Linked DNA regions of Elephas maximus indicus. The protein of the gene in region 1 purifies or fractionates together with the protein of each later gene. This does not show direct contact. Links are inferred from orthologs where the notes say so. Each region holds a gene or a part of one and is shown on either strand. Other genes may lie near its edges.

Evidence for each region.
Region 2: the proteins of MAP2K1 (region 1) and LAMTOR3 purify together in Homo sapiens (affinity purification with western blotting; 3 studies listed by BioGRID, with this or other methods). This does not show direct contact. The link is inferred for Elephas maximus indicus from reciprocal best matches to the Homo sapiens genes MAP2K1 and LAMTOR3.

Annotation. Positions count from the first base shown.
Region 1 is NC_064831.1:56,487,429-56,498,043, reverse strand, and holds the start of MAP2K1 (dual specificity mitogen-activated protein kinase kinase 1), read right to left. Parts: upstream 4,232-10,615; 5' UTR 3,795-4,231; coding exon 3,715-3,794; intron 1-3,714. UniProt on the Homo sapiens protein: Dual specificity protein kinase which acts as an essential component of the MAP kinase signal transduction pathway.
Region 2 is NC_064823.1:53,258,835-53,269,683, forward strand, and holds the start of LAMTOR3 (ragulator complex protein LAMTOR3), read left to right. Parts: upstream 1-6,708; 5' UTR 6,709-6,863; intron 6,864-7,158; 5' UTR 7,159-7,195; coding exon 7,196-7,204; intron 7,205-9,964; coding exon 9,965-9,999; intron 10,000-10,849. UniProt on the Homo sapiens protein: As part of the Ragulator complex it is involved in amino acid sensing and activation of mTORC1, a signaling complex promoting cell growth in response to growth factors, energy levels, and amino acids.

The DNA.
Region 1 (10,615 bases):
TCATGAGAGTATGTTAAACTACTGAGATTTGGGGGTTGTTTGTTACTTCAGTATAATCTAGTCCATCCTGACTGATGTAGATTTACAGGGTTTACTGCACAATACCATTTAGTACACTACACACAGAAACATAAAACAATGCTATGTATTTCCCGAGGGTACACATGTGCCCAAACAAATGGGCCGAATTATAAGATGATTATAGCTCATTATAATTAAATTCTCTAGAGTGGGTGAGTAGGTGCCTGTGAAAGGAAAAGAAATGGGAAGCATTGTGGAGAATAAAGGGAAAAATACAAATGAAAATGAGAAGGTAACAAGGGTTTATTAAAGACATTGTGAAAATATTAGAAATTTCATTTGCTTATGATTCCTTCGACAATCATCTGTGCCCTCATTATGTGCCAGGTACTGTTCTAGGCATTACTTACAGAGAGGGGAGTCAAAAAAAGGCAGCCCTATGCTGCCAAACCTGTTGCCACTGAGTCGATTCTGACTCATAGTGACCCTAGAGAACAGAGTAGAACTGCCCCATAGGGTTTCCAAGGAGAGCCTGGTAGATTTGAACTGCCGACCTTTTGGTCAGCAGCAGAGTTCTTTAACCACTGTGCTACCAGGGCTCCTATGGTATATAGTAGAGATAGATATTTTAAATGCCCTAGTAAATAATTACAGACAGTGATAAGTGTCATCAAAAAAATCAGGTGGCATGAAAAAAAGGGACCTATTTTAGATCAAGTGGTCTGTGAACATCTGTGAAGAAATGACGTTTAAGCAGGGGGATGAAGGTTGTTACCCCCTAGCTAAGGGAAGAGAGAGGGATGATTCATTCCAGGCAAAGGGAACAGTACGGTACGTGTAAGGGCCTGGAGGGAGTATATATCATCCCAGGGAGGAAGTGAAAGAGGGCCAGTGTGGCGGAAGAAGTGACAGGAAATGTGGTCAAAGAGGTGGGGTGGAGGCAGGGGATGCAGCGGGCAAATCACTCAGAGTCTCACAGCCCAATGTACCAACTGCCAGAGTCGACCCCACTGCCCTCGATTCATGGTGACCCCACGTGTGTCAGACGAGAACTGTGCTCCACAGGATTTTCAATGGCTGATTTTTCAGAAGTAGGTCACCAGGCCTTTCTTCCGAAGCACCTCTGCGAAGACTTGAACCACCAATCTTTCAGTTAGCAGCCAAGTGGGTTAACCATTTACACCACCGTTGTATTTTACTCTAACTGCAATGGAATCACAAAAACATTTTAAACAGAGGGATGATGTGATATTTCCAATTTATTTCATTCTAACACTTAAGACCCTAACAATATGCTCACGTTTTTGCAAAGCTTGCAGAAGATATTTTTACATTCTTTTTCTTAAAGGACCCCCAGAACTAGCATACACTTCAGGTCATGTATAACCCAGCTCCATTCCTGAGTGGGATGTTAAGTTAGAAGTAATTCCCAAGGGGCCAGGAACCCACGTGGCACAGGCAACCTTGCCAGTTTGGTACTAAGAATTCTTTACTTTAAACGGATTTTTTTCTTCTTCTTTAGTTCACATTGTATGATAATGAGCAAAACTGTGCCCTGGTAATCAGAGAAATCATGAGAACAAAAGAGTTCTTTCTGCTGGCAGACCAAGAGAGGGGAAGCCTTGCTTAAGAAAAACTCTAAACTCTCAAGAGTGAAAGGTGAAGATGTGGGTATAGCTTTTCCTTCATTAGTGCTAGGAAATGTACGGGAACAGTCCCTGTTCGTCTCAGGCAGCCTACACGAAGATGCCTCCTATTGTAACACAGCAATGAGTCATGGAGGTAGATGCAGAGGGCACAGAAAATTAAGCTGGGGAGAGAGTCCTTTGTCCAGGATCAAAGGCACCTGAACACACACAGGCACCACCAGAAATGGAAACACCTTTCAGTTTCATTTAGCCTTCTCGGCATGTACCCAGTAACAAAGGCACCAAAACCAAAAAAAAAAAAGAAAACCAAACCCACTGCCCTCAAGTCGATTCCGACTCATAGGCACCAGCAGCTCACATTTATGAAGACTTACCAAGTATCAATTGCTTTGTATGCATTCCCTCATTTAATCTTCACAACTACCCTAAGTAGGTTCTATTATTACTCCCAAACCTAAGCCTTAGAGAGGCTAAGAGACTTGTCCCAGGTCACAAAACCACAAGTGACAGGGTCGGGCTTCAAACCTAGGCTAACTCAAAGGTCAACCTCTCAACCACTGCTGAGAGCCTCCCAGTTCCACCCACTTTTTTTCTGCCACCAAATCCTGGGTGGCTTCTTTTTATCCTCCCTTTACTGTTCTCCTTTAATGAAATTCATCTCCCCTGAAAGAATACAGCTGTGGTGTCAGAAGGACAACAGGTACTTCTACTCAGTTCCCGTCTCCCAATCAAATAGCAGGATGGTCATGCCACACTATGCAGACAGAATCCAGTCTGGTCAAACCTGTCCTGAAGATGGTAAGGGCTAACGAGGGCCCCAGGCCCTTGAGGGGCTTTCAGTCAGCTTAAGAGGACAAACACTGTACACTAAAACGGAATTCAAGTTTGCAAATACAACTCACGACCTGTACAAGTCAATATGTATAAAGCAGAAAACAGTGTTGAGGGGAGCCTAAAGAAAAAGCAGGTCTGAGGAACCTGGCTGAGTGCACACCACAGGTCTGTCACTGGCCTTGTGATTATTACAGGGATGAGCAGAATCACCAAGTCCACAGGTCTCCAGGCTATTAAAATCTAGGTGGAGAGGAAGGAAAGCTGCAGAAATCATCAAAGGCAGAAGGTCCAGGTCTACTCTATTCATTGTATCAGCTAGCTTCCTTAAGTCTAGAGTGTTCATGTAAAAGATTCAGAATCTTATCTTTTCTGGATATTTCTCCAGCCAGCAGGTCTTTCTCCCTCACAGGTCTTGTCCCTTACCCAGGACTCCAAAGAGTTGTGGGAGCTCAGGAACCCCCCTGAAACAGGCAACAGCCTCACCTTTATTTAATGAATAAAAGTGCTGGTCTGTGAGCAACACCAGAACCTGCAAATATGAAACATCTTGTGTGTGATCTCCATAGTCAGGATGTTCGCATCCCGAATCAGGAGTTTAGGGCTTATGGTGAAGTAAGGAAAGCCAAGGAAGGCACTGATGAAGAGACAATTTGTTGAATAAATGAATGAAGCGGAAAGGCGCTCCCTTGGAGGCAAGACAGTTCCCAGGACAGGAAGGAGGCCAAAACCCCGGACCCTCTAAAGTCGGCAAAGGAAAAGCCGCGAGGCGGTTCAGGCAGCTGCCCCCAAAGAGCCACTCCCGACCCACAGGTGTCAGGCACGAAGGTGATGCTCGCAGGTCCCACCTCCCGGAGCCCTTCTCAAAGGCACAGATGCGATCGTAACTCTTTCCAAACGTTCTCCCGTCACAGGCCAGACCCCCCGTGGATCACATTTAGGAAACTGCCGCAGGGAGGGGGAATGAACCAGCTTTGATTTTCTTGGGGAAAGGGGAGGGGCCAGTAGCCAGGGACGACAGGAAGGGTCAGGAAGGGAGGAGAAACCGAGGCTGCCCGGGTGACTGGTCTGGGTCAGGAACACAATCAGTGCTTAGTCACCGATACCTCGGCGGCCGGGAGTTGCTCGCCCCCCGCCACCCCGAGACGTACGTGACCAAGTCGACCGGCGCCCTGCGCCCCGGCTCCTGCGCCCGCCGCCACCCCATACTTACTCCGCCGAGGTGGTCCCGTTCACCGCCGAGCCGTCGGGGGCCGGGTTCAGCTGGATGGGCGTCGGCTTCTTCTTGGGCATTCTGGACTAGGGAAGGCGCTTCCAAGTCGGGCGGAGAGCGGCTCCTCTCGCTTCCTCCCTGTGCGCTGCCCTGCGCCCGCACCCCAGGGGCCAAATCTGGGCCGCGGGCCAGAGGCTGTTTTCAGAAGGAGCGCCCGCTCGGGCCCTCCGGCGCCCGGGGCCCAAGCCTGCCTCGGGGACCCCGCCTGCCCGCCTGAGGCTAGGCTCAGCGTGCCGGGAGCCCAAGGGCTTCCCCGCCGGCGCGCAGTGGCTGCGCGCGAGCGTCTCGGCAGCGCGGGATTCCCTCCTTCTATCCCTCCGTCAGCCGGCCCTCGGGCTGAAGCGGCCCCTCGGAGCGCACACGAGAGCCCCGCACGAGCTGCAGCCAGAGACCGTGCAGCCGCCGCCGTAGCCGCGCTCCGAGCCGCGCCGCGCAGCCGTCTCAGGGAGTGTCTGGACGGCGGGGGAGGAGCCGGGAAGGAGGCCTCGCCCCGCCTCCCCCGGGCTGCGGCGCTTCGCCACACCTCCCTCGGCTCCGCCCCATGCCTGGCCAACAGCCAATGGGAGCAAGCAGTGGCGGCAGATACGCGGAAATACGTCACGGGGGCGGAGCGAGCAGCCCCGGGGGCGGGATATGGCGCGGGCTCCATAGCACCCTCTGCTGCCCCGAGGCACCCCGGTCCACCGGGAAAGGAGGTCGTGCGCCCAGGTTCCTGCAGCGAGCGGCGAGGTGAGCTCTTTCTCATCAGGTGCCAGGTCAGACCTGGTACCGGGCGGCCTAGTCCTCTGCGGAATAACAGGATAAAAATAAATAAGGAGAGGGACCCCTTCTTGTGTGCAGGGGAGAGAAATGTGAGGGATGGAGAACTTGTTCAGGGACTCCTTGCACCAGTGCACAGTAGTGATAGTAATAATGTCCTTTTTTTTTTTTTACTGATGAGGATGCAGAGAGATGGGTACTCAGTGCTGATGTTATGGTAAATTGGTACAACCTTTTTTGAGAGCAGATTGGCAATATTTTTTAGAAGTCTTAAAAACCCTTTTTCTGAAACATATTGGAGAAATAAGATGTGAATAAAGAGCTTAATAAAAGAGGCACAATATTTACTCAAAAATGCGCTTTTCGCTCTTCCTTTCCCCCCTTCCCCTTTCGAAAGTATTCAGTCCTAAAGACAGTAGGTGGCCAGAAGGGTCGCTATGTGTCGGACTCGACGGCAACGTGTTTTTTTTTGGTTTGGTGTGAACTCACAGTTTTCAGTATATATGAATAGAGGTAGATGTGTGCATGCCTGTGTGTGGTAGATGTGATTCTGTCTTTATTTTAAATTTTGATATTTTATTCACCATGAATTTTTTTGCATTAATTTTGTGGGGTTTTTTTTTTTTTTTTTTAGTATTGCATTAAAATATCTTGGTTACTGAGTTTTTTGGCACCCTCTTAAATTTTGCACCCGTGGCAACCATTTCAAAAGGAGCCGTAGTGGCGCAGTGGTTAAGCGCTCAGTTGCTAACCAAAAGGTCAATGGTTCCAATCCACTGGCTGCTCCATGTGGCAATCGGCTTTTGTAAAGATTTGCAGCCTAGGAAACCCTGTAGGGCTGCTATGAGTCGGAATGGACTTCCCAGCAGTGGGTTGGAGCGAGCATTTCACTTGCCTCACCCTTGTCCTGGTTCTGGTGTGTACACATGTATTCCCAAACATGTCCCCTGAGGGACCTGAGAGTAGGGACACCCCAATAGCAACTCTTAGCTTCTAAATACCATTCCCCATGAAAAGGATCGAGGACTCCTTGGAAAAATGGCTGATTCCAGAAGTGCCCAGGGAAAGGACAGATGAACCTGGAACATCTTTTTGTGCAAGAAAGCAAGGAAGTACAAAAAAAATCACAGATACTTCAAAAGGACACAGAAGCCAGCTTGAAGAGACTCCTACTAGCCAAATTGTATGACTTGAACATTAAAATAAATAACAATGGCAAAAGGTTATAACTCATTGAATAAAATAGGAAGCCTTGAACCCATACTGAATAAACTATTAATTAAAGTTTGATGAAGAACTGGATGTTTACAAGGATTCAGCGTACCTCCTCACAAAATGCAAATTCACTACAAAGGGGAAAAGAATAACTTTACAGTGGGGAAGTCTGGCACATACTACTTTAATCTTAAGCAATTAAAATGAGCATCATCAGTAGTAATGTGTCCCTTCGTGGGATGCAATGAAAAGAACACAGCATTGCTTTTGTGATATTCCTGCTGAAGATGCATGGCTGAATCTAATCATAAGAAAACATAAGAGAAACCCAAATTGAAGGACATTTTAGAGGATTTACTAGCCTTTCATCTTCAAAAATGTCAAGGTCATGAAAGGAAAGATGGAAGAGTTGTTTTAAACGGGAGACATGACAAGTAAATGAATTAGATACTTTTGCTACAAAGGACATTATTGGGAAGATCGGTAAAACAAGAACGGATCTGAGGACTAAGACTGTAGTAATGTTTCAGTGTTAATACTCTGATTTTGGTAGTTGTAGTTTTGTAGGTGAACATTCTTGTTGTAGGAAATAAGCACTGAAGTCTTTGAGGGTGATGGATCATCAGGTCAGCAACTACTCCCAAATGGTTCTGGGAGAAAAAAGTTCTTTGGATATTTTTTTTAGATCAGTTTGTAATTCTTTCAACTTAAAAAAAAAACAATTATACGTTTATTTTTTAAATGATATTTTATTGTGTTTTTGGTGAACGTTTACACAGTAAATTAGGATCCCATTTAATAATTAGTACACAGGTTGTTCAGTGACATTGGTTACATTTTTCACAATGTGTTAACATTCTCATTCATTCCATTCTAGATGTTTCATTTTCATTTATCTGGTTTCCCTGCCCCCTTACCCTTTTATCTTTGCTTTAGAGTAATTGTTGAGCATTTGGTCTCATATAAATGGTTTTAAAAGTACATTTATTTTAAAAAGACTAGAAAGCTATATACACCAAACTGTAAACCAGTGGTTATCTAGATGATGATGAAATTACGTAATAGTTTAAAATCGTCTTTTTCTGTTTCCACTTTTTTCATGTTAAATGTGAACAACTTGTAGTATCAAAGTAAAATAATAAATATTAAAAAATTAATTGAAATTAACTTTTCAAACAATGTGTGTTAAGGAACAATTCAGGCTGTCTGAATGCTGGTACAGTTTTATATTTGCTAATGCAAATAAATGCTAGTGGAATTTTGAGCAATAATTGAACTTCTCAAGACCTCACTTTCACCATGTAAAAAATGTGAAGTTCCTTCCAATACTGAAATATTATGACTTTATGAATGCTGTGAAAACCCTGGTGGCGCAGCAATTAAGTGCTATGGCTGTTAACCAAAAAGTTGGCAGTTCGAATCCACCAGGCGCTCCTTGGAAACTCTGTGGGGCAGTTCTACTCTGTCCCATAGGGTTGCTATGAGTCAGAATCAACTCGACGGTACTGGGTTTGGTTTTTCTTGGTTTGAATGCTGCTGAAAGGGTCTGCCTCCATTGAGCAGTGTCCCTAAACCCTCATCATGCCCTGAGAAAGAGTCCACATCAAGGACTACCCCAGTGACTGAAGTTTGTAGAATAGCCCAAGGTAGAAGAGTTTTCTTCATTTGCACTTCAGATGAGTAGGGATTCATCGGTTCTTTTAACTTTTCCTGAATGCCTAACATAGGTGCCCACAATGTGATAAACATTTTAACAAACATGTTAGGTTAAAGGATGTGAAGTTACCATTTTTGTAGCTCAAAAATGGTCAAATATTAGCACTTTCATGTGGTTTGTCACATTTGGACATAGTGTAGTGGCATCACAAATGTGAGAAACCAAGAAATAAGAGGGCAGCCAATGATGAAAATGCGTCATGAACTGAGGACTACATTTAACTCACCCCTCTGCACCTAAGGTCCAAAATCAAACAAAACAGACAAAAAAACAGCACACACTTAAGAGAGAAAGACCGTGTTTCAATTCCAGTTCTGCCTTAGCCAGATTACTTAACCTCTCTGGGTTTACTCACCTATAAAATTTGAGTAATACTACCTACTGCACCAGAGAAGGAGCCCTGGTGGCACAGTGGTTAAAGTGCTCGGCAGCTAACCAAAAGGTTGGTGATTTGAACCCACCAACCTTTCGATTAGCAGCCAAGCACTGAACCACTGTACCATGAGGGCACCTTCTCTAAGGATTACCTGCAAAGCCAAACCGTTGCCATGAAGTCAATTCCAACTCAAGTGGCCCTATAGGTCAGAATAGAGCTGCCCCATCCAGGGAGCACCAGGTGGATTCAAACTCCCAACCTTCTGGTTAGCAGCTGTAGCTCTTAACCACTATGCCACCAGGGTTTCTCTGTAAGGATTACAGCCTTGGAAACCCTCTGAGGCAGTTCTCCTCTGTCCTACAGGATCACTATGAATTGGAATAGACTTGATGGCAATCAGTACTACACCAGATTGTTGTGAGCATTAAATGAAATCATGAAAAAACAGTACCGAACACGGTAAAGGGAAACCCTGGTAGTGCTGGGTCAACTGAATATCTGTATGAAAAAAAATCAGTCTTAGTCCCTACCCCACACCATAACTAAAAAAATCAACTCTAGATGGATTGTAGAACTAAATAAAACTTTAAGGGGAAAATATCTTCAAATTCTTTGTTTCAAATTTCATGGGTTTTTTTCATTATAAAACTTATGCCAGCTTATTATGTGGAAGGAAATCCTGGTGACATAGTGGTTAAGAGTTCAGCTGCTAACCAAGAGGTCGGCAGTTTGAATCCACCAGACGCTCCTTATAAACCATATGGAGCAGTTCTACTCTGTCCTGTTGGGTTGCTATGAGTTGGAATTGACTCAACCTCAACGGGTTCAGTTGGTTTTTGGATTATGTGGAAAAAAACCCAGAAAAGTATAAAGAAGATAATAAAAACCATTCATGATATACTTCTCAAAGATAACCTTTATTTACATTGCAGAATTCTATGTTCATCTTCAGCCATACTCACATGCTTATTATAGACTCAGTGAACATTATGACATTTTCAATTTATGACCTTTATTTAGAGGAAAGCTGGTATTTACCCTCTTAAAACTTAAGATCTTTTACTTTCTTAATGTGAAAAATTTAGTTGGGAAATTCAAAATAAAATATGTCTGGTTATTGCAAACAAGTTTTTCCACATGAAGACATTCTATCTTACTTTTTTTTTCTCATTTTAATACCACATTTTCTTATGCTCCAGTCATGAGAGAATCTGACTCTTTACCAAATGCTTTTACTATCATTATTCCCTTTGCAGATAATTCATTCTTTTGAGTAGAGTGAATTTTTAAAATTTTTTAAATAAATGTCTAAGGAATCTTACCCATTGTCTAGATTTTTCAGCTTCTGTGAGTTTGGCAGCTGTTACTACTGCGTAAAGGGTCACGGTGTGGAGGGTAACACTACCCTCCCATTCCCCCCTCATACCAGGTACATCCGCTTCCTCAATTCTTGATGTCAGACATTCTGATTGCAATCAAACCACTGGGTTATTCTGGGAGTCTCTTAATTGTCACTTGCTCTTCATTTAAAAAAAAAAAAAAAAAGATGCCTCAACAAGGTAGGGATGATGTGATTTTCATTTGGTCTCTAAGGATGTGGCTTAAACCAGACAGGATGTAGGCTCTTGCATCTTTTTTTGGAGGGCTGCGGGGGTAGGGACTTGGTCCTGGTTTGGCATTCCAGAGAGGTGTAGTACTTGGCTTTTTATTCTCGTGTAGCCCAGTGAAAGAAGATATACGCGGACATACCAGCTTCCTAGAGGGCAGCTGTGGAGAAGGAAGTCTTGACTTGCTTTGGAATCACAGCCCAGGATCCCGGATATTCTTATTCTAGAGGCTGGTCTGAGATTAAGCAAATCTCTTTCCCTGGCCAGAACATTCACTCCAAAGTTTGTCATCACTGTTTTTTTTTTTTTCCTACTTGGCGGAAAACCCCTGCATCATTCTTTTCCTGCCAAATGCTTTGCAAAGATTACAAGCAGGAAATTTTAAATGAGAGTGACCATTTGAGTGGTAGTGATCTGGGAGCTGTGATAAGAGCATGTGAGGCCTGTACAGGAAGAGACATTTTAAAGCCTGACTGTCAATCTTTTTATAATTCACACTCTTGCTCAGAGCCAGGTCAGCTCATAGAGAGCCAAGAATTTGTCTGAAGTGTTTTATCTCTGGCAGTGAACTACACACGACACACCTCCTGGGTTTTTGTCTGTTTTAAGATACTGTAAACTATAATTATCGATGAGCAATGTATTCTATAGTTTTATACAATCTCAGGGATCAAGAAACCTCTTCTGCACAATGTACCGGATTGCTGTAATTGTACAGTCTCATAAAATGTATGGTTATTGTTATTATAATGATGGTATTGCTGCATCACTGTCATTACTGCTGAACCGTATGGCCATTTATCCTTGCTCCTTTGTGTGCCTTCTCTGAATAGACAGACAATTGTGACTGGATCCTAGACTGGCCTATGAGGTAGGACTTTTGCATTTGCGTAATGGGAGACTGAGTTCATTTTAGAATGTTAGAGCTGGACCAAAGAGGTCATTGGGTCCAATCATCCCATTTTTTAAATGGGAAAGCAGAGCCTGAGACAGTTCAGTAGTGTCCTCCACGGTGACACAGGTAACTAGGGGTAGAACAGGGACAGGAGCCACATCTCCTGACTCCTAGGCCAATGATCTTTTCACAATTCTCTGGTGCCTTGCTGTATTCATGGAGCCCTGGTAGCGCAGTGGTTAAGAGCTCAACTGCTAACCAGAAGGTCAGCA
Region 2 (10,849 bases), on another chromosome or scaffold:
AAGATGGAGGAATACACAGTCACTATACCAAAAAGAATTGGTCGACATTCAACCATTTCAGGAGGTAGCATATGATCTAGAACCGATGATATGAAGGAAGAAGTCCAAGCTGCACTGAGGGCATTGGCAAAAACCAAGACTACAGGAATTGATGGAATACCAGTTGAGATTTTTCAAATGGATGCAACACTGGAAGCACTTACTCGTCTAGGCTAAGAAATTTGGAAGACAGCCATGTGGCCAAACAGCTGGAAGCAATCCATATTTGTGCCCATTCCAAAGAGAGGTGATAGAACAAAATGCTGAAATTATTGAAAAAATATCATATCACACACAAGTAAGATTTTGCTGAAGATAATTAAAAAATGGTTGCAGCAGTACATTGACAGTGAACTGCCAGAAATTCAAGCCAGATTGAGAAAAGGACATGAAACGAGGACTATCATTGCTGATGTTAGGTGGATCTTGGCTGAAAGCAGAGAATACCAGAAAGATGTTTACCAGTGTTTTACTAACTATGCAGAAGCATTCACTGTGTGCATCATAACAAATTACAGATAACATTTCGAAGAATAAAAACTCCAGAACACTTAATTTTGCTCATGAGGAACCTGTACATAGATCAAGAGGCAGTCTTTCCAACAGAACAAGGGGATACCGTGTGATGTAAAATCAGAAAAGCTGTGTGTCAGGGTTGTGTCCTTTCACCATACTTATTCAATCTCTATGCTGAGCAAATTATCTGAGAATCTGGACTATATGAAAAATGAGGTATCAGGATCAGAGGAAGACTAATTAACAATTTGTGATATGCAAGCTTGCTTGCTGAAAGTGAAGATGAGTTGAAGCACTTACTGATGATGATCAAAGACTACAATCTTCGGTATGGATTACACCTCAACCTAAAGAAAATGAAAATCCTCACAACTATACCAATAAGAAAATATGATAAAAGGAGAAAATTTTGAAGTTGTCAGGGATTTCATTTTACCTGGATCCACAATCAACACCCATGGAAGCAGCAGTCAAGAAATCAAATGACATATTAAATTGGGCAAATCTGCTGCAAAAGACCTCTTTAAAGTGTTAAAAAAGAAAAGATGTCACCTCGAGAACTAAGGTGCTCCTGACCAAGTAATGGTATTTTCAGTCACCTCATATGCATGCAAAAGCTGGACAATGAATAAGGAACACTGAAAAAGAACTGTTACCTTTGAACTGTGGTGTTGGCGAAGAATATTGAATATATCATGGACTGCCAAAAGAATGAACAAATCTTTTCTTGGAGGAAGTGCAACCATAATGCTCCTTGGAAGTAAGGATGATGAGACTTCATCTCACATATTTTGGACATGTTATCAGAGGGATCAGGCCCTGGAGAATGACATCACGCTAAGTAGAGGGCCAGTGAAAAAGAGGAAGACCCTCAATGAGATGGATTGACACAGTGGCTGCAAAAATAAGCTCAAGCATAACAATGTGAGGATGGTGCAGGACAGGGAGGTGTTTTGTTCTGTTGTACATAGGGTGGCCATGAGTTGGAACTGACTTGACAGCACCTAACAACAACACCAGAAAGCCTACTTAGCTTCATGCATTTGTCGTCTTGTACCAGTTGGTTCTGACTCGTAGCGACTCTACGGACAGAGTAGAACTGCTCCATAGGGTCCAAGAATGTAATCTTTATGGAAGCAGACTGTCACATCTTCTTTCTTCAGAGTGGCTGGTGAGTTTAAACTGCCTACCTTTTAGTTAGCAGCCCAACAAAGGACTTACCTGCTACACTACCAGGCATTCCTTTTGCTGTAGGCCACCATTATTATTACATTACAGAGGAAATGGACTGCTGTCAAGTTGATTCCGACTCATAGCGACCCTATAGGACAGATTAGAACTGCCCCATAGTGTTTCTAAGGAGCAGCTGGTGGATTTGAACTGCCAGTCTTCTGGATAGCAGCTGAACGCTTAACCACTGCACCACCAGGTCTCCGAGGAAATGGATGGCAATGGAGTGTCCAAAACCAAAAAATTACTTTTGTTTTATTTTATTTTATTTTGACAGCTATGTGTAGTTTTAAAGGTTGGTTGCTTTTAAAGAAAAAAGTGGAACTGGGCTTCTAGTTCGTAGTTACATTGCTCTTTAATGTACTAATAAATTACTTAGTTTGATCCCATGTACAAAGATAACATAACAGCATCTTTTGAAACACATTTCAAAGAACATATTTTGTATTGCAAATTAGGTATCTGTCAGTTTAGAATTACAATTTGTTTCTTAGTCTTCATACTTCAGTGGCAATATTTTCTCTTTGTACAATTATGGTAGTATTACAGATATGCCCCCATTTCAAATGGATGTGTTAAAACACAATCTTAAACTGGCTTCTTTATTCCAAACAATATTTCATACTGAAAATGAAGAAGGACCCAACAAATGTAGAATTTATTATGATATAGTTGACTTATGAGTTAAATCTCAGTATTTTATTAATTACTTTTAAAGTTGCTATTGCAAAAATACTAAGGATTTTTAAAATTTGGAGCCCTGGTGGCGCAGTGGTTAAGGGCTACGGCTACTAACCAAAAGGTCGGCAATTCGTATCCACCAGTTGCTCCTTGGAAACCTTATGGGGCATTTCTACTGTGTCCTATAGGGTTGCTATGAGTCGGAATCAACTTGATAGCAATGGGTTTGGTTTCAGTTTTAGGTAGAAGTATTACTGTTTTACATAATTTAACGAGCCTCTTGTTACTCAAATAAAACATTAACTTTTTCTGTCCTGAGCGATGATTGCATATCTAGAAAATTTATGGGATAAAATTTGGAAGAGGAAACTAGAACCTGGCTTCATTATGCCTAGAAACCAACCACTCTGATCTTTTCCTTAGATCTTGTATACTCTCCCACTGTCTTTGACCCCAATCTCCCACCCTGTGTTCAGCACCACTTCTACTGTAATCCCATATAATATAGGCTATGGAAAGTTAATAAACTCTGTCATATTTTCAGTCAAATCGAAGGGAAAATATCACTGTATTTCATCGGATCTAATAAGCAATCAATTTAAGATACATCTCAGTTTCAGAGATGTTAAAATGTTAGGGGGAAATCCATCTCAGAATCGATGAAATACAGTATCATGCATTTCATTCTAACTTTATTGGTGATATCAGAGCCTTTGTTTCTGATTCTCTTAAAGTTCTCTTACCTGTTATATACAACAGAGATCTCAACTTTTTTTATTCTGGTTTTTTAACAATATATGCAGTGTCTTTACTAACTATATATACAGGTACTGGTATGCTGTGAAGGAGCCCTGGTGGCACGATGGCTGCTAACCAAAAGGATGAAGTAATCAATTTGGCTAGAGTAGAAGATTCACACTAGAATGTATTTGGAAGTCACTGCTCTCACAGGGATCACAATAGAGGGTCACAGACAGAGCTGGAGAAAAATGTTGACCAAAATTCTAACTCAAAAAGAAAGGCCAGATTTGCTGGCCTGACAGAGACTAGAGAAACCCTGAGAGTATGGCCCCCAGACACCCTTACAGCTCAGTAATGAAGTCATTCCTGAGGTTCACCCTTCACCCAAAGATTGAACAGGCCCATGGAACAAAACAAGACTAAAGGTGTGCACCAGCCCTGGGGTAGGGACTGGAAGGTAGGAGGGAACAGGAAAGCTGGTAACAGGGAACCCAGGGTTGAGAAAGGAGAGTGTCGACATGTCATGGGGTTGTTAACCAATGTCATAGAACAATGTGTGTACTGTTTGATGAGAAACTAGTTTGTTCTGTAAACCCTCATCTAAAGTTCAATTAAAAAAAAAAGTACTCAGAAGTAAAATAGAGTATTAGTGCCAGATTAAAGACTGTCAACTTTGTCTGTGATGGTACATCACTAAAGATCTTCTTAGCAGGCAGTAATGAGTGTTTTAAGAAGGTTCATCTGCCAGTTATTAAATGGCTATTGATATAGTCTTGCTGAGTAGAAATACGGTCTGAATCAAGAATTGAAAAAATACAGATGCAAAAATCATTGTTAGGGAAGAAAAGACATATCATGAGGAAAGAAAGAGAGCAGCCAAACATGATTCCTGACTAGTAGAATCATGGTACTGGTACAGACATAGGAGAAACAGGTTTATTAGACCCAAGTTTTTTAGAGCTTTTGAGTTAGAGCTGACAGTAAGGTATGTAGGTAGAAATATCCAACATCCAGCAAGCAGCTAAGAATGTGAATCTAGAACTCAGAGGAAAGACTCACATTCTCAGAACACGGGAAAGAGAACATTGCAGAGGAACCCAAGATAAGCTTGGGAAATGCCATCATCTGAACAGTTAGAGACTTGAGTGGGTGGGGACCTGAAACAAATAAAGCGGTGTCCCAGAAACTAAGAAATCAAAGATTTTAAATAAGGAAAAGGAAGTAATCTTTAATGGTGTCAACTGCTATGGAACTGTCAAGTTCACTTGTAAAAATTTGTAGGTGCTCAAACAGATTTTTTGGATGGTAAGTCTGGTGTGAGGAGGGAAAGAAGAGCCAGGGAAACCCTGAAAAGTAACTAGGTTTATTGTGCTCACAGTTCCCAGAGGCAGGGAGGCACAACACACCATGATGCAGGGCCACACAGGGGTTGCACCCAGAGAAAAAACCCAAACCAAACCCACTGCCGTCGAGTCGATTCCGACTCAGCGAAGGTAACAACAAATTATAGGAAAAGGCTTATGTGTGGCAAGCAGGGCAGGGTTAGCTAGGTTTTTCTGGTTTCCTGGGGAATAGGCATTCTTGAATAACTCTGCAAGCTCAGGGGGTATAGAGGGCTGTCCTGAGTTGTTAGGTACCTGGCCCTGGGACAATTAGGGTGGGTGCATAGTGGCCCAGGAATGTGAGAACCTGATGAGGGGAGTGGTTGGAGAGTGGAATTAATCAGCTGCTGAAGAAGGTGAACGGACTAGCCTCCAGCCAGGGCCTCAAAGCAGTCAAGACAGCATTTTTTTTTTTTTTTAATTGTGCTTTAAGTGAAAGTTTACAAATCAAGTCAGTCTTTCATACAAAAACCCACCTTGCTATGTACTCCTAGCTGCTCTCCCCTTAATGAGACAGCACACTCCTCCTCTCCACCCTGTATTTCCTGTGTCCTTTCACCTAGTTCCTGTTCCCCTCTACCTTCTCATCTCGCCTCCAGAGAGGAGCTGCCCACATAGTCTCCTGTGTCTATTTGAGCCAAGAAGCTCACTCCTCACCAGAAAATGATACTGTCTTACAGTCCAGTTCAGGCCCTGTCTGAAGAGTTGGCTTCAGGGATGGTTCCAGTCTTGGGCTAATAGAGGGTCCAGGGACCATGACTTTCAGGGTCCCTCCAGTCTCAGACCATTACGTCTGGTCTTTTTTATGACAATTTGAGTACTGCATCCCACTGTTCTCCTGCTCCATTAGGGATTCTGTTATGTTCCCTGTCAAGACAGCATTTTAAGAAAATTATATTACAGTAGATCATTTGTGACATTTGGGAACTCTATGGTTTACAATTGCCTCTTGTCAGGTATAGTTGTAGGAAATATGTATCCAAGACTTTTCACCATGTCTTAGGCTAGACTTAATCCCTTTTGCATTCCTGCTTTTAGGGGCGGGAAATGAAGATCAGTCTTAAACAAGTTTCCATAAATCTCGGAATTTTCCAAGACATACTACCCAGCTTTGAATAAATGAAACCAGAGGTAATCTGCAACTAAAGCCATGAACTTCAGTTTTCCTAGGAGGGGCTAAGGCAGTGGTTCTCAACTGGGGTGTGATTTTGCCCCCCAGGGGATTTTTGGTTGTTACAAAAGTGGGGGGGGGTGATGGGGGGAAGGGAGGAGGGAAGACTGCTAGCATCTAGTGAGCATAGGCAAGGGATGTTGCTAAACAGCCTAAAATGCACATGACAACCCCCTTCAACAAAGATGTATCTAGCCCAAAGTATCAGGAGTGCAGAGATTGAGAAACCCTGGGCTGAGGTGATCGGAGAGGGTTTCCCCCTTACCATACTTCGTAATCTTCCTACTACCTACTGTAGGTTTTTGTTAAACGTGAAAACAAGCAAGGCACCAAGCAAAAAATATTTTAGGCAATGCTTAGAAGGCAATCCCACATGTCAAGAACCAATGAGAAAACGTAGTTCAGTGCGTACCTTAAAAGAAGCAGAAGCTTGGGGTGCTGCTTGACTCCCCGAGCGCTCCAGAAAGCCCATGGCTCCTCGATTCAATCTAGACAAAACCTTGAGCAAAGAGCATGTAGGGTGACATCCATGGGAAAGCCAAAAAGAGACTAGGAAATCGGGACCAGAAACCTGTAGATCTGGAATTTCTAATCCCTGGGCAATCAATCTCATACAGCTCGTTAACGCCCTCCCTTCCACTCATTTACAAGAATAACTTTTAAGGTACTGGCCCTAAAAAACTAATAAAATTTATGCACGTTCTCCGCACAAAAATGTCTTCTTGCACAAGAACATGCATACATTTTCTGGGGGCTTTCGGGCCCAGCAATCTCTTTAAGAATCGCCTAAGAGTTCAAATCCGTCCGGCCCAAGGCAAGCGGGAGGGGCGGGGTAGCGCGGGCGGGGCGAGGCAGAAAGGGCCGGGGCGGGGCATCGCGGGCGGGGCGGGGCAGGGCGGAGCACCGCGAGCCAAAAAGCGCTCAGTTTCCGCCTACAGTCCCCGGAAATCCTGTGTCACCGGGCGTCGGAGGCGTAGGAAGTGCTTCCTGGGGGCCGACGAGGTCACAAATCATGTGAGGGCCGCTTGGGGAGGAACCTGTCTCCTAGTGTCCCTGAAGTGCCCGCAGAGAGAACCCGGGCATTCCCGGGAGCGGAAACCCAGGTAACTGGCGCCACTTTGCCCGGCATAGGGACTTGTGCCCGGGGATAGCGAGGGAGGGCTGTTGGTGGGGGAAACGAAGGGGGAGAGGGCACCACTTTTCCTAGCCTTTGGGCCCAGATCTCGGGGTGGTGGTGGTGGAGTGGGCTGAGGTAAGACATCCCGGATTCCCGTCGAGGTCTTGGGGAACACCTACTCCTTCGGCCTCTTTGGTACGGTCCTAGAGCCGCGGAGTCGGCTGGGGGTGGAGAAGGCGAGGAAGCTTCGAAGGAATAGTCACCAGAGGTTTCTCTTCCAGGCGTGGAGATTGATCCTGCGAGAGAAGGGGGTTCATCATGGCGGATGTGAGTTGACATTCTTACACAGGAAAAAAGGAGAGGGTGGGAGTTTGGAAAGGATACTGGGCGGGGAGAGGTAGAACTCCCCATGTACAGACCTTTCTTTTAGGCGTTCCTCCCGATTTTTTTCCCCTAGGGTCTGGAGTGGGAGACTGATAAGAATGGATTTGTGGGGTTCTGAGTTTCTGTCCAGTATGGGGTTTGAGGAGAGACTCTTAAGATATGCTTGAGGGTGAGAAGATTGTATTCTCACACCCCAATCCTGTGAACATCAAAGAAGCCCTGTGTGTTTACCATTTGAGCTTCTAAATGATGGTCTGCAGTCTTCCCAATCACTGTGTGGTTAGTAGGACATGTGCACTGAATGCTTTACTTTCCAGTAACCAGTCATGATGTCTCACTTGGGATTATTGTGACAACTTGAAATTCCTCTTTAGCACAGCAGTAAGACCCAAATTCCAAGCTTAGGGGACTTAATTGTACTAGTTACTGAAAAGTGCAGAGAATTACTGATACTAATGTTTATATTTTACATCCTGTTATCTTGCCGAATATTCTTCCAAACATTGAGTATATACTAATTTATTCTTATAACAACATTTAGAAGTAGGTACGATTATTATTCGTCTTATAGATGGTGATGCAAAGCCACAAAAAAATAAAGTAACTCACCCGGGGTTACACAGCTAGTAAGTGGTGAAGTCAAGAGAACAACGCTGACAGTCTGGCTCCAAAGGCTATATTCTTATCCACCACACTGAATGGTCATTCAACATGAATACAAATCCAGTTTTTCCTTTTAGGTTGCAAGATTATATGGTTCAAAGATTTAGGAACTTTTTATGCCTTTACCCACCGCTTATTTTTTTAGTACCATCGGTTATATTTTTGAGACCTTAATTCTTCACCTGTAGTCAAATCACTAAATATTGAGCATCTGCCTTGGAAAAGTTGCTATGATAAGGGCTATGGGTAAAATAAAGATGATTAAGGGATAATTCTTTAAGGGTTTTTAAGATTAATAGAGGAATAGGTAAGTGATCATAGATATGCATACATAATAGTGTGAAAATTGAGGAAAGGATTACATCTGGTTTTTGTCTATCAGAAAAGACTATTTGGAATATTTGATGGTTGAGATTTAGCTCTGAAAGCTGAGTAGCATCTTTTTTTTTTTTAAAAGTAAAATCGAGAGCAAAGTATTTCTAGTAGCGTGAATAGCATAAACAAAGTCCAAGAGTTAAGAAGGGAGAGGTGTGTGTGGAGAAACTGAGTCGACCAGCTTAGTTGGAGCTGTGGATATGTATGAGGATACAGAACTGTAAAATTAGACCTAGACTATGTTGTAGAGAACCTCAAATGTCTAAAGAGTTTGTACGTAATCCAGTGAAAGCTGGAGGGCCATTCAAACCTTGGCTACCCAGGGAATACCTCCAGCCCAGGCATCAATATTATTAAAGCTTCCCAAGTAATTTCTATAGCAAGGTTGAGAACCACTGCAATAAGGCTTTAGAGAAGGAGAATAATATGATTGGCGCAGTGTGGAATAGGATAGAAATGGGAGACGAGAATACCAGTTGGGAGATTAGTGCAAGTCATAAATAGTAAAAGAAATAAAAATAACAGTGTCTGTGGAAAAACAGGAAAAGATCAATTTAAAAACATTTTATTTGACAAGTGATTTAAAAGTGGCAAACGTGAATTAAAGTTAAATGTTAACTCTTGGTTTCAAACCTAAAACCAGGGGATTGGTAGTGCCATTAGTGGAGAGAAGAAGAAATTGAGGAAATCTGGATTCAGGGGCAACAGGATGAGTTCATTTCTCTGTGTGTGTGTGTATTAAGATGAAAGCAAGGTAAGCTGGTAGCGATGCATTCAGGTTTAGACAATTGTAGGTATTAGAGGTTCTGAAGAATAGATGGTATCTGATTCATCTACATAGAGGTCTTAATTGAAGCCTAGATGGTCATTTTCCCCAGATGAGAGATACGAGGAGGCAAAATAAAGTAGTCTTCCATTTCTTTAGTTCTGATTATGATTTAGGCGTCTCTGGGTGGTGCAAATGGTTAATGCACTCACTGTTCACTGAAGGGTCGGTGGTTCATTTCCACCCAGAGGCACCTCGGAAGAAAGGTCTAGCGATCTACTTCTGAAAAATCAGCCATTGAAAACCTTATGGAGCACAGTTCTGCTGTAATACAATGGGGTTGCCATGAGTCGCAGTCAACCCTAGGGCAACTGGTTTTGTTATTTTGGTTTAATTAACGTTTCATGCTTAAACACACTTTGTGTTGTCATTGTAATCATCTGAGAATCATTAAAAGTGATATTAGAAAATCTTATTTATAAATATAGCAAGATAGTCATATATTCTCAAGCAAACACAGCAGTAGCAACAGGATATACAATAGTATGGAAAGTATAATCTGATTTTACGTGTAATGTAATTTTTGTTTTCTGTTACCAGGTATGCTAATCACTTTATATGCATCTTCTCAATAAACTGTAACAGCAATCTTATTAAATAGGCTCTATGAGTATTCTTACTTTATAAGTAATAAAATTTAGGCTTAGAGAAAAGGTTACTTAACTTATTCCAAGTCACACAGTTATTAAGTATCAAAATCAGAAAAAGAAGGATAAAGTACAAGCAGGAATTGTTATGAATATGATTTCAAGTTCCTGAAATGTGGATAGGATAGTATCCAGAAAACCATTGGAAGATACATTATTATAATATGGCTTTTTAATATTTTTCTCTTTTAGGACCTAAAGAGATTCCTGTATAAAAAATTACCAAGGTAAAAAATTAATTTGTTACTGAATATTTTTATGTAGGTAATATTTTGTTTCTATTTTAGACTAATATCACTATGTATGTATAAAGTGTTATTATTTCATACTTTCAAATACCTGACTGTAACCTTAAGTGAGTCCAATGATGTCCTTTGAGTTTGCAGGTATGAGGCCTGAAATAGTCACCTGGCTTTTCTGAGGTTAAACAGCTGGTGGATGCTGGAAGGCTAGAACTCACATTTCTTGTCGCTTTAGAGTTCTTTCAAATATACTATGATAACAGTTTATTGAATTATACTTTGAAGTAGTTACAGTAGTTTCAAGGGAAGAAAAAAAGCTAATAACCTGCCTTTACATTTAATACTGCTTTTAAGACCTAATTGCTAAGTGTAGGTAACCCGAGAATGCTAGACTAGGGTAACAGTTCATGCTCGAAAAATCAGGAGACCTTTTTTTTTTTTTAACCTGTGCATAATCCATTTGCTGCCCCTTTGTATAAATTACGCTTTTATGTTAATGTCAGAAAACTTCCTTTTTGATATTTTACTGTTTCAAAGGACTTTGTCACTTCTGTTGAATTTCCTGTGTAAGGATGGTACCTTCCCTGACAGTTAAACTTTCCCTTACACCCACATCCATTTACAAATAATGTAGAATTCCTGACAGTTGCGGGAAATGAGAGAGAGGGATGTGAGTTGAGACATCCATTCTAACATTCTAGAATAAGATGATTCAAAATTGACGTAATAATCTTTGATTTAATATAGGAGAATATGTGGTGAGATTTTTTTTTTTAATTCTTATCTCCCAAATCTGTTTGACTTTTAAAAGATTTTAGATATCAGTTAATTCCTG